3 linked regions of the Mus musculus genome follow. The protein of the gene in region 1 interacts with the protein of each later gene in a biochemical or structural test. Links are inferred from orthologs where the notes say so. Each region holds a gene or a part of one and is shown on either strand. Other genes may lie near its edges.

What was found. The genes of interacting proteins can lie anywhere in the genome.
Region 2: the proteins of Ube2d2a (region 1) and Rnf170 form a complex in vitro, tested with the Homo sapiens proteins (2 studies listed by BioGRID). The link is inferred for Mus musculus from reciprocal best matches to the Homo sapiens genes UBE2D2 and RNF170.
Region 3: the proteins of Ube2d2a (region 1) and Mex3a form a complex in vitro, tested with the Homo sapiens proteins (2 studies listed by BioGRID). The link is inferred for Mus musculus from reciprocal best matches to the Homo sapiens genes UBE2D2 and MEX3A.

What each region holds. Positions count from the first base shown.
Region 1 is NC_000084.6:35,770,086-35,774,424, forward strand, and holds the start of Ube2d2a (ubiquitin-conjugating enzyme E2 D2), read left to right. Parts: upstream 1-1,473; 5' UTR 1,474-1,903; coding exon 1,904-1,927; intron 1,928-1,945; exon of another isoform or gene 1,946-2,516; intron 2,517-4,339.
Region 2 is NC_000074.6:26,125,849-26,129,491, forward strand, and holds part of Rnf170 (E3 ubiquitin-protein ligase RNF170), read left to right. Parts: intron 1-55; coding exon 56-131; intron 132-3,198; coding exon 3,199-3,307; intron 3,308-3,643. UniProt on the Homo sapiens protein: E3 ubiquitin-protein ligase that plays an essential role in stimulus-induced inositol 1,4,5-trisphosphate receptor type 1 (ITPR1) ubiquitination and degradation via the endoplasmic reticulum-associated degradation (ERAD) pathway.
Region 3 is NC_000069.6:88,530,749-88,534,869, forward strand, and holds the start of Mex3a (RNA-binding protein MEX3A), read left to right. Parts: upstream 1-1,197; 5' UTR 1,198-1,646; coding exon 1,647-2,100; intron 2,101-4,121. UniProt on the Homo sapiens protein: RNA binding protein, may be involved in post-transcriptional regulatory mechanisms.

The sequences.
Region 1 (4,339 bases):
TGTGGAGGTCACAGGTTAACTTGGAATAGGTTCTCTCCTTTCCTCAAGTTGGTCTCAGGGATCCAACTCAGGTCATTAGGCATGGCAACAAGTACCATCACCCACAGAGCCATCAACAGCTCCTACATTGCCTTTTAAATACAAGAATGTTACCATTAAGAACAAAATTAAAATTTTTTTCCTGACATCTTAGTGAAGCTGCAGTGGTCCACACGACTCCCTGAGTTTCGCCATGCCGCCCAAAGACGACAAGAAGAAGAAAAATGTCAGAAAGTCGGCCAAAAAGGACAAAGACCCAGTAAATAAATCTGGCGCCAAGGCTAAGAAGTGGTCCAAAAGCAAAGTTCGGGACAAGTTGGACAATCTTGTCCTGTTTGACAATCTCTGTAAGGAAGTTTCCAACTATAAGCTTATTACTCCATCCATGGTCTCCGAGAGACTGAAGATTCCCGGGTCCTTGGCCAGGGCAGCCCTCCAGAAGCTCCTTAGTAAAGGACTTATCAAGCTGGTTTCAAAGCACAGAGCTCAAATGATTTATACCAGAAACACAAAGGGTGGAGACGCCCCAGCTGCTGGTGAAGAACAGGTTCAATCAGCTGTGCATTTGAGAAAATAAAACTTTATTGAATCAAAAAAAAAAAAAAAAAAAGAACAAAATTAAAAATCTGACCTGAAGGCATTTTTGTGTTTTCTTTCATATTTCAGAAAGACCTGCACCTACAGATTGCTCCTCCTCATACAGGCCCTCTAACATACAGATTCTCTGTGACTGGCAGAGTTTTGTCTCTGGGGTCCACCCTTCTCTGTAAGGAGAGGTGATCAACCTTGCCACTTGCAATGAAACCTTGTCAAAAATCCTTCCCATATTTTCTCATTCTACACGGCACATTCCCTGATGCTAACAAGCCAGTGGCTGCGGATGGAACCCTCGAGTCCTGTCCAGTTGAGGTCTTGGTTGGGACCAGCAGCCTCAGGGCTCCCAGTGCAAGCAAGCTCTAGGACCCTCTTTTTCTGGGGTGGTGGTGGTGAGGCTGAAGAGTTGTGTGACCTTGGAAAAGTCCCTTTCTTTTTCATGGAAAGTGACGGTCGGATTAGTTACTTCCGAGTTTGATGGTGATTACACAATATGGAAAACCCGTGCCTTTAAGCATCTATTGATCTTCGAAGACCCAGTCACGCAGGGTACCAGAGGCTGCTCTCAGGCCTTGGCGAAGGGGGGTGGGGGGGAGTAGTGAGCATCTAGAACCCGCGCCTGAACTCTCGCGAGATTTCCTCCCACTGCCTCGCGACGTCATCCCCTCTGCGGCTGTGCTTGCGCCGGCGCCTGCGCCGGCGCGTAGGGTGCTCGCAGGGGCGGCCCGTATCCCTCCGCCGCTGGCGCGGCCCGGCCCTCCCTCCCTGGCCCGCCAATCCCGGCGCCTCCCGACCTGCCCCTCGGCCTGGGCCCACCCTGCGCTCCGGCGGCCCCACCCCGGCGGCGCCGCCCGCCCGCGCGTCCCTTAGTCCACCTGCACCAGGCAGGAGAGCAGGCTCCCCCCGGCTCCGCCACCGTAAGGCGCTGGGCGAGCCCGGAGCTTGGGGGCTCTTCCTCCCAGGCGGAGGGATCCACGGCGGCCGAGGAGGCGGCGCTGAGCGTACGAGGAAGAGGCAGCTACGGCGGCGGCGGCGGCTGTGGCAGCAGCGCATAAAGGGGCCGCCGCCGGGTGATGCGGTGACCGCTGCGGCAGGCCCAGAAGCTGAGTGGGGCCTCGGCCCTCAGCTCGTCTGATCCGCACTCCCGGGAGCTCCCGGTCTTCTCCGGTCGACTCGCGACCGCTCGGGCGGTCTCAGGCCCCCTCGCCCCTTCCCCGTCCCTCCCCCGTCCCCGTCCCCGCCCCGGGGGCCGTCGCCACCGTTTCCCACCATGGCTCTGAAGAGAATCCACAAGGTAAGCGGCCAGGGGGTTTGCGGTGGGCATGGGCCGCTGGGCGGGCCCCCTGAATAGGCTGCGGCCTGCACTTCCCGCGATCGCCTCCGCTGGACTCGCGGCGTCTGGTTCCTTCTGCCGGCGCCGGCCCCAGGGGGGCGGCCTTCACACCCCGCTCCCAGAGATGGCGCCCAGGAAGGCCCGTGCGCGGGGCCCTGGCTTAGGCCAAAGTTGCTCTTGTCCTCGCAGGCTCTAATCCCCGACGCCCTTCCAGGCCTCCCTCCAGCCTGAGACTTGATGCTCTTTAGGGCTATTGTCCGGCCGAAAAAGGGACTTGGGGCGGCGCAGGGGGGTTGGGGGGTAGGGGTGGGGCGGCTGGTAGTTGGGTGGCCCTGTGATCTGAGGTCGATAGGCTGCTCGCAGTCTGTCCCCCTACTCTGGTGCCCTCCTTCGAGCTGCCTGAGATCGAGGACATAGTTAGGCCGACCAGAGGGTCCATTTGCTCGCTCCATGACTGTTTTTCTTGAGTTCACTTAACTAACTCTGGGGCAGCTAACTGCTCCCGAAAGGCCACCTTAACTGGTCTAGAAAGTGGACTTGGAAGTCAGAGGTAAGAAAATGCCACACCGGAGGGAGGAGGGGATTAAGTGGAGAAGCGTTTTATTCCTTGGGGTTGGTGTATGTCGTCAGAAACTAACCCTTCAGTTTTGCAGGATTGGATCTAGTGGAACAACAACTGGTAGAGAGTAGAAGCCATTCAGTTAAGAAAACCGAACGTTGAAAACCGCCGGAGAAATTCCTTTCACAGACTTCTTCCAAAATGATTTTAACCCTGAAAATATATACTATGTTTGCTGAGACTTCCAATTTAGAAGGGATTTTACTCTATTTTTGGTTAGAAATAACTTCTTAATTCTTTTAAATGAAAGGTTATCCACTTATTTAATGATAGATTTAATACTATGGAGAACATTGGCTTTGATTAAAATTTAGCCCCTAGCCCCCCAAATATTAACTTCTTAGTATCACTTATGATTACTTTTCTTCCCTCTTAGAAATAGGAAGTTACCCACTGGTGAGTTTTGTTTGCTGTTTTATTTGGCTCCTCAGATGAGCGATATTAACTTGTATTAGTAAGTGGCTGGACCTGGGATAACCCATAAGGACCGATAGGGTAGGAATACAAAAGAATGGAGGTTGGAGCACAGTTCAGCAATCAATTGGACCTCATTTATTCTTTATTCAAGACTTTGTGGAATTAATTTCATTCCTTACTGTGAGTTAGCATCTTACCAACTTTTGTTTTCTTTCATTTCTTAGAACCCAGAGGGTAGACTTTAGGTAGTAAATCTTTTTTTTTTAAGATTTATTTATTATATGTAAATACACTGTTGATGTCTTCAGACACACCAGAAGGGGCATCAGATCTCATTACAGATGGCTGTGAGCCACCATGTGGTTACTGGGAATTGAACTCAGGGCCTTTGGAAGAGCAGTCAGTGCTCTTAACCACTGATCCATCTCTCCAGCCCAGGTAGTAAATCTTGTACTAAAATGAAGCAGGGTCTTTGCACAAAGAAGTTTGATCAAAAGAAAAACTGTGTAAGGGATAAGAACAAAGTAAGAAACATCTAAGTAACATGTATATGTATTTCTAAGACTTTAGTAGTCTTTATGGAGTCTAATGGAGCATTATCAATTTGAAATGGTATTGAATTAGACCTGTAAAGATTGCCCCCCAAAGCTCGGAAAGGGGAGTTTGGTTTGTGAAATTTTGTAGAGATTCTTTTTTTTTTTTTTTTTTTTTTTTTAAGGTGGAGTCTCACTAGCTCTGGCTGGCTTGGAACTTTTAACTATGGTGTAGACCAGGCTGGCCTCAACTCCATGACCCACTTGCCACTGCCTTTGAAGGGCTGAGATTAAACCATCAAGTTAATAGCTTTTAGAGTTTCTGTTAATATCTGTGCTATACAGACTTCTTCAGAGAGGGAGATGACACTGACTCAAAACATACATTTAAATCTTAGAATAACATTTGCCCGCCCAATATAGTTCCTGTTGTTGTGGGTTTTGTTTTCTCTGTGTAACAGCTCTGCCTGTGTGCTGGTCTCAAACTCTCAGATCTGCCTGCCCCTTTGCCTTCCCAGTGCCAGAAGTAAATGTGTGTGCCACCACAGCTTGCTCCTAGTGCTGTTTTTGAGTTAGGCTGTCACTGCTGGTGTTGATCCTGAGTGCTGGGATTCAGGCACGTACCATCACACCTGCCTTCACTAGACCTTTTTGTTTAGTACTAGGGATTGAATCCAAGATCTTCTGCATGCTAAGGCAAACACTCTACTACATTCTCAGTTCTTACAAATATTTTTTAAAAATCAGGTTTAGAAATGTTCATTTGACCTTAAAATTGTGGGTGTGTGTTTGTGTGTGTTTCAA
Region 2 (3,643 bases), on another chromosome or scaffold:
AACTAGACGAATAAAGCAGATGGGTTAATCTAACTTTATAAACTCTGTCCAACAGAAATGTACAGCAGAACATCCATCCAGAAAACCAGGAGCTAGTCAGAGTGCTTCGAGAACAATTCCAAACAGAACAGGTATGCTGATGTAGTATATATATTTATAGAAGGGGATGTTGTAGTTTCCTGTTATAGGAGTGGTGATAAGACATTAGAAAGTAGCTTTAAGAAGCATCAGCTGCTTTACTCCTTACATTATATTGTTCCTCAGACTACATATTTTCAGATTAAGCACATGTTCTTTTGACGGGACTGGGAGGACATCCAGGCAGTCTCGCGTATTCCAGGCTGGCCTGGCACTTGTTGGGGAGCTGAGAATGATCGTGATCTCCTGATCTTCCCGACTCTACCTCGGTCACAGTTACTTTTCTATTGCTGTAACTATAAGTCCAGGTACAGGCAACTTATAAAATAAAGCATTTAACTGGGGGCTTGCTTACTGTTTCAGAGAGTTGGTTCATTATCATCATGGTAGGGAGTGTGGCCGCAGACAGGCAGGCGTGGCTCTGGAGCCGAGTGAGAGACTGGGCTTCAGGTGGGCTTTTGAAACCTTGAAGCCCACCCTGAGTGACAACAAGGCCAAGTCCCCTAATCCTTCCCAAAACAGTTCCATCTGCCAGAGGCCTCGCGTTCAAATGTTATATGACCATTCTCATGGAGACCACTAGACCTCCCAAGTTCTGGAGCTACTGGCAAGAGCGATCAACCTAGTGGCATGTTGACTAGTCTTAATCTATACGGATGCATGCAGTGAGGATTTTGGTTTCTTTGAAAACCACAGAAACATATGGGAATATGTTTTCATTTTAACCTCAGGCGTGGATATGGTGTTACCTCACGTTCTCCACAGCAGCTGACTATGATTTGCATCATCCTTAAGCAGGGGCATGGTTTTGACAGCGTTTTGGAATTCTGGGGACTCTTCAGAGGGTGTCTTAAGTGCTAGAGCCCCATAGATGGCTGCTGGTTGGCTGGTTGGTGGCTGGATGCTGTTGGTTGCGGTTTATCAGGCAGTCGGGTGCAAACAGAAGAAAAGAAGGAACTAGATATCCTGACAGACAAGATCAAATTTGCTCCAAAGAACTTGACGCCCTAGTCAGTAGGAAGTAGTCTCATGATACCATCACCCTCTTTCTCCTCAGTCCTTTTCTCTCGCCTACCTAGTGTTAGGGGTTGGAAGGGTGGAAGAAGAGAGGTAGAGAAGGATGGAAGAAAGAAGAACCCAGAAGTCCAGTTACAGATACATGCATGCTTTTTATCGCCTTGTTCTAAAGGAGAACGATTTTTGTATTTGTTGTTTGTATAAAAAATGTAGTCAACTTTAACGGAAATGAAATAGATACTTCCTTTTTTATTTCTCTCTCTCTCTCTCTCTTTTTTTTTTTTTTTTTTGACACAGAATTACATGGTCCTGGCTGGTCTGGAACTTGCTGTGTAGACCAAATTGACCTCAAATTCATAGAGACATGCTTGCCTCTGCCTCCCTAATGCTGGGCTTATAGATATGAGCTATTCTGTTGGCTTTTGTTATATTCTTTGAAAAACATCAAGAAAGGTATAAGTTTTTATTTTAATATTAATTACTGGTTTTTTTTGTTTTTTTTTTTTTTTGAGGCAGGGTTTCTCTGTGTAGCCTTGGCTGTCCTGGACCTCACACTGTAGATCAGGCTGGTCTCCAACTCATGTAGATCTGCCTGCCTCTGCCTCCTAAGTGTGCAACACTGCCTGGTAGTATTTACATATTTTAATATTTTCATTTTGTAGTATTAACACTGGAATAACAATGCTACCTTCAATTATTTTAGTAATTAGTGCTATTTTAAGAAATTAAAATTCTAATTATAATATCTTAACATTTATCAAAAGTTCTTTAATTCATTTTATAATTAAGTTTGTATTTACTACTTTTGATTTTTGTGATAATTTTATTTTAAAAAGTTTAATACCTATTTATTGTATGTGTATGAATGTTTTGCCTAATGTATGTGCATCATGTATGTGCTTGGTGCCATAGAATTCAGAAGAGGATGTTAGAGCCCCTGCAGCTGGAGTTAGAGATGATTGTGAGCCATCATGTGTGTGCTGGGAACCAAACACATGAACGGCAAGAACGGGTCATGCCCTAAACTGCAGAGCCAGCTTTCCAGCCCTTGATGAAGGTGTACGTTTGCGTTAGTGCTGGATAGTTTTCTAGGTCCTTAGGTACTACAGTGAATCCTATAAGTGGAGTTTTTGCCTTCACGGCATTTTATTCCAGAATCATATTTGATGTGTGGTACTTGTACTACTATCTGATCACAACAGTGATACAATCAAAGAATATGCATATATTACATATTTGCGTGGTTTGGGGTTTTAAGACAAGGTCTCATGTAGCCCAACCCTGGGACTTGTTAGGCAGCCAAGGGTAATTTGGAACCCTTACCTTCCCGACCCTGCGTCCTCACTGTTGGGATTACAAACATGCAATGAGAAGCATGTTAACATTTACTAGGGTGGGTTTCCAAAGGACCACGTTCACATGACCAAAAGTGGTCATTTTTTCCCTACTTATAAAATGAGCAAATAATCTTAACTGGAAGATTAATTCTTGTGGAAGATAGAGCAGATATGCAAAACTTTACAGGGGACAGGTGTTCAATGAAAAGGATGACGCCAGACACGGTCCTGCAATGCTAGCATTTGAGAAGCTGGGGAGAATTGCTGCTGTAAGGTCCAGGTCTGACAGGGCTACAAAACAAGACTGTTTTAAAAACCAAAAAGGTTGTTTAAAATGTTAAAAAAATTGGTGAATATTAAGAATGATAGTTTGATATTTTTTCTGTTTTTATGGTATTGAGGATCAGACCCAGGGCCTCATGCATGTTAAGTGGGTGCTCTCCCTCTGAGTTACACTGAAGCAGGGTGTTTCGGATTCTCTAGTTTATATCGCAGCTTGTAGAATTCAAATAACATGCATTTTAATAAAGTAGAAAAGCTAGCTTTGAGTTAATCTACATTTTGTTTTCAAGTTGTGTGTAGGGAGGAAGGTGAAGGCCACTGAGTTCAAATAAAACAACTTTGCAAGCTTCTCAGACTTGCAAGACGTTAAACTATTGCGCATGTGTAATTTCTGTCTTGAGAGATGTCTGTGTCCTTTCCCCAGGATGTCCCTGCTCCTGCCCGACAGCAGTTCTACACTGAAATGTACTGTCCAATCTGCTTACATCAAGCCTCCTTTCCTGTTGAAACAAACTGTGGACATCTCTTTTGTGGTGAGCAAATTATGTCCGACTTGGTTAGAGTCACCAGCTTGAGACCTTTGTGGATTGGTAGTGGGCTAGATTGCTCATTTTCTTTTTATCACATTTATGTTCTGAGAAGAGTAGATTGCTTCACAAGTCCTGCTCTAGTTGCCACCCAAATAATAGCATATTGTTTAGTGTATTCCATACTAAGGTCTGAGGATATTGCTCAGTTGGTAGAGTGCCTGGCTATCATGCAGAAGCCTTGGGCTTGATCCCCAGGATTGTATTACCAGGTACCGTGGCATATGCCTGAATCCTAGTACTCAGTGGAAAAAGGAAGGAAGGTCAGGAATTCAGAGTCAC
Region 3 (4,121 bases), on another chromosome or scaffold:
CTCTAGACTAGCTCAGATTTCCCAAAGGAAACCCCTCGGGCAGGGGCGGGACTCCTACCCACCCAGCATACCCATCTACTGTGATCCAACTTGGGGAGGTGACTCCTTGAGCCTGACCACAAGACCTTTAGATCCCATCCCTCTCTTGAAAGAAAAACAAAAACAAAAACCAGAAGATACAGAGTAGGGGGGAAGTAAAAAAGAAAGAAAGAGAAAAGAATGCAGTACACTCTAACTCCCCTCTTAACAGTCAAATCTTAAAAGCTTATTTATGATCTCTTTCGCCATATTTCTAGGGTTAAAAGGGCTGAATTACTGGTTTATAAAGGAGGCAAAGGAAACAGCGAAATGACCGTCCTAAGGGACAAAAGATTTCCTCCACTATATTCGAGGCTCAGGTCTAAAAAAGTAAAAATAAAAAACCTGGGTTCTCAGGGGCCCCCAATCTCACTCCTGTTACTCAAGGTTCAAGGCTCCAAATTAAGCCATACGAAGCCTCTAGGACCCTTCTGGCTTCCCGGATCAGCCCCCACCCCCATCCTCTCCCTCCACGCCTCCTCATCCTCCCCGGGTCACTGCACGGACCACGGGGGCACGAACTAACTCACCTCCCAGTCGTGGCCTCTGAGATCCCGGAACTGGGGGGCTGGGGGAGGGGGAAGGGCTTGCTACCTCCGAGAAGAGAGGGAACCACATCCTCTACCGGGGGTCCCACCCCCAACCGAACGCCCCTTCCTGGCCCCCACACAGCGCAGAGACCTGCTCCTCCCACTGTAGCGGCCGCGGGCTTTGTCTGCTCCACCAGCTCTCTCCCAGAGGCCCGAGCCCGTGGACTCCGCGATCGCGCGCGGGAGGAGGGAGGGCACTGCAGCCACGAGGCCGCTCCGCCCCGGCCCTCATTACCATAAGAAAGAGGCCCGGGACCCGCGGGCAGAGGAGAAACGCCTTTCCACACCCGCTCCCTTCCCGCATACTGCCAGCTCCTAAAATTTCTCGGACCACAACTCCCAACCCACCCGAGGCTTTTCCCGTGACCAGTGGGCAGAGCCCGAGGGGCGCAATCCCCTTCTTGCCCGGGTTGAGGAATTCCTCCCCGCGCCCGAGGGCGGGAAACTACAACTCCCGGCATGCCCCGGGCGCCCCCGGCGCGCCCCCCTCCCGTCAGTTCCATGCTGCTCCATCCAGTTCATTTAAAACAAAAGAGTTTGAGCGCTGGAAGGGGCTGGGCTCTATTGGGGGCCACTGAGCGACGCTCCGGGACTGGGGCTCGGTGCGGGAACCTAAGGGGGCGTCTGCTCGGCGGAGGGTAGAGACTCTGGGTCCGAGGCGGAGGGGTGGGGGCTAGGGCCCGCAGCCCCCCACCCCACCCCGTCACCCCGGAGCGAGAGGAGATCTGCTTTCTTGGTTTTGCTTCTTTTCCCCCACCCCCACCCGGGGGCTGGGGCGAGGGGAGTCAGGTTACAGGGTGCTTGGGGAGGGGGGCTTAGGGGTGGGTCTATCTTTCTATCTCGCTTTCTTCCCCCCTCCCCAGCTCTTTGTTCCCCCTCCCCACACACCCCCTCCTCTCCTCTCCCCTCCCCTCCTCTCTCCTCTTCTCCCTTCCACCACCTCTCTCTCTCCCTCTCTCCCCCAGCTTTTGTTTCGCCATGCCTAGTCTAGTGGTATCTGGAATAATGGAAAGAAATGGGGGCTTTGGAGAACTAGGATGTTTCGGGGGAAGCGCTAAGGACCGAGGGCTGCTGGAAGACGAGCGCGCCCTTCAGCTGGCTCTTGATCAACTCTGCCTCCTGGGTTTGGGGGAGCCCCCCGCCCCCACGGCGGGCGAGGACGGGGGAGGTGGGGGGGGCGGCGCCCCCGCGCAGCCGGCCGCCCCCCCGCAGCCGGCCCCGCCGCCGCCGCCCGCGGCGGCCCCGGCCGCCCCGAGCGCGGCCCCCGCGGCGCAGACGCCCCAGCCCCCCACCGCCCCCAAAGGGGCGAACGACGCCAAGCTCTGCGCGCTCTACAAAGAGGCCGAGCTGCGACTGAAGGGCAGCAGCAACACCACGGAGTGCGTTCCCGTGCCCACCTCCGAGCACGTGGCCGAGATCGTGGGCAGGCAAGGTAAGCGGGCGTCTGGACACTGCGAGGGTTGGAGTGGGGGCTTGCTGTCCCCGGCACGGAAAGTTCATCGCTTCCTTCTTTGCGCGCCTCTGGCTCTGTCCCTTCCCGACAAAGGGGGCCCCGCCCCCTGCCCAGATTCCAAGTGCCACAAAGTTCCCTGCTACCCCTAGTCGGGACGACTCTCGGGACCCTTCCTCCCCTGGGGCTCCGCCCGTAGACAAAGAAATATCCTGGAACTGGGAGAGGAAAGGGGAGGGGGAGCTGCCTCCCAATCCCAGGGTCTGTGCGGAGGGGGTGTCGGCTCCTGGCTGGAAGGACTGACGGAATGTGCAATTACTTGGGAGCCCCTACTCTAGTTTCTGCTTGTATACTGGGGAGGGGGCACTCCTGGGACCTTCTGCTGTTGGAGTTGGGGACTCTGAGGGAGACCTAGTCCACGAAGCCCGACTGAAGAGCTGCCTCTTTGTTGGGCTGAGTGTAGGAATGAAAGGGGGTGTGGCCCAGGGGAGGGTCCCAGTCTGGGGAGAGGTGATGAGGGAGCCCTTGGCAAAGAGGGGTCCCTTGGTCGCTTACACACCGAAGTTGGAGGGCCCCTGTGTTTGGGGAGGGGAATTTCTGAGGAAGTACCAGTCTTGGCGTGGGCCTCTCCTCCTCCGTCTTGCTTTTGTTCTGGGCTGGCCACGGCCTGGAGCTAGGGGTCTGCAGAGAAGTCTCTGAGTGAATTCATGGGACAGGCCAGGAAGGGCATGTCGGTGAAGGGGGACAGGACAGAAACCTCCACTTGGAATATGGGGGGGGGGTGCGTGTCTGGGTGTGCTGGGAGGGGTGTTGAATTAAGCCAATGGAGTATGTTACCACACCCTCCCAGCCCAGCATCCCTGGATGGGTGGGAGTGTTGGTAAGGACCCAAATTGAACAACCTGGATCTTAGGGACCCTTCCCCTCCTAGCTTCTTGTGGGGGGGGGGCGGGATTTGGATATGGCAAAGGGGCTGGGCTGGGAGGTGGAGTGGGGGGAGGAGCTGTCCCACGGTGGGGAACAATGGAGGGGCTGCATTCCGCGGGAGTAAAGAAGAAGGCCAGTTCCTGGCAGTGGAGGGGAGGCAGGCTGGGGCCCCTACCACATATTCCACTTCATCCATCCCAGTGTTGGGGCTGGAGGATTTGGAGTGGAGGAGGGGAACTTGCCCCTCCCCTGCACAGCGCCCCCTCCCTCAATCTCTTGGGGGTTTCTGGTTTAGAAAGTTGGATTTCCCCTCCTTGTCAAACCCTGGAGATTCAGAGCCTGGTGTTGGGTGGGGATATTAATAACTTTACTTGGGTGAGGTCGTGGAAGGCACCAGGATTTAATGGGGTCCTTTACTCTTCTGCTTCCTTCACAAATGTGTCTAACCATCATAAAAGTAGAGCTTGTCCTAGTAGAATATTGTCAGAGAACAGAAGTTCTCCCTTCCCCATTCTGTAAGCAGATGGAAGTCCTTTCACCTCCCTCGTGCTGCTGCTCCCTCTCTGACTTTGACCTCTACTTCTACGGAAGCTTCTTCAGGGTTGCAGAACCCAAGATGCTGAGGCTGATACGTTCTGTACAGCCCGGCCTCAGGCTTTCTCCCTTGGGTTTGTCCTTCCAAACTCCAGATCTCCCAAAGACACCTAACTCCCTATGAAGTTAGTTTTTGGATTCAAAACTTAGGAGCCAGAACCTAGGTGCCCATCGGGGTGGCACATAATAAACAGAGGTGGCAGAAAGTATTGTTCTTCTATCCTCCAAGCCTCAGGAACCAAGCCACCATCCAGATATTAAAGCAGCAAGGCTGTGGGCTTGGCAACAAGTAGGACTTCTTATCTGCCAACAGGTCTGAAAAGAAATGGGGGTTACATTTTTCCTTCCTACTATATGTTAGGTACATTCCTAACCCACTGAGTCCCACCAATTCATTAGGGTTAGAAAAGACACTTTGGGAATGGAGGAAGGAGGAGAAAGAACAAGCAAGCTCACCAGAGGCCTGCAATTGGGGCAGTTAC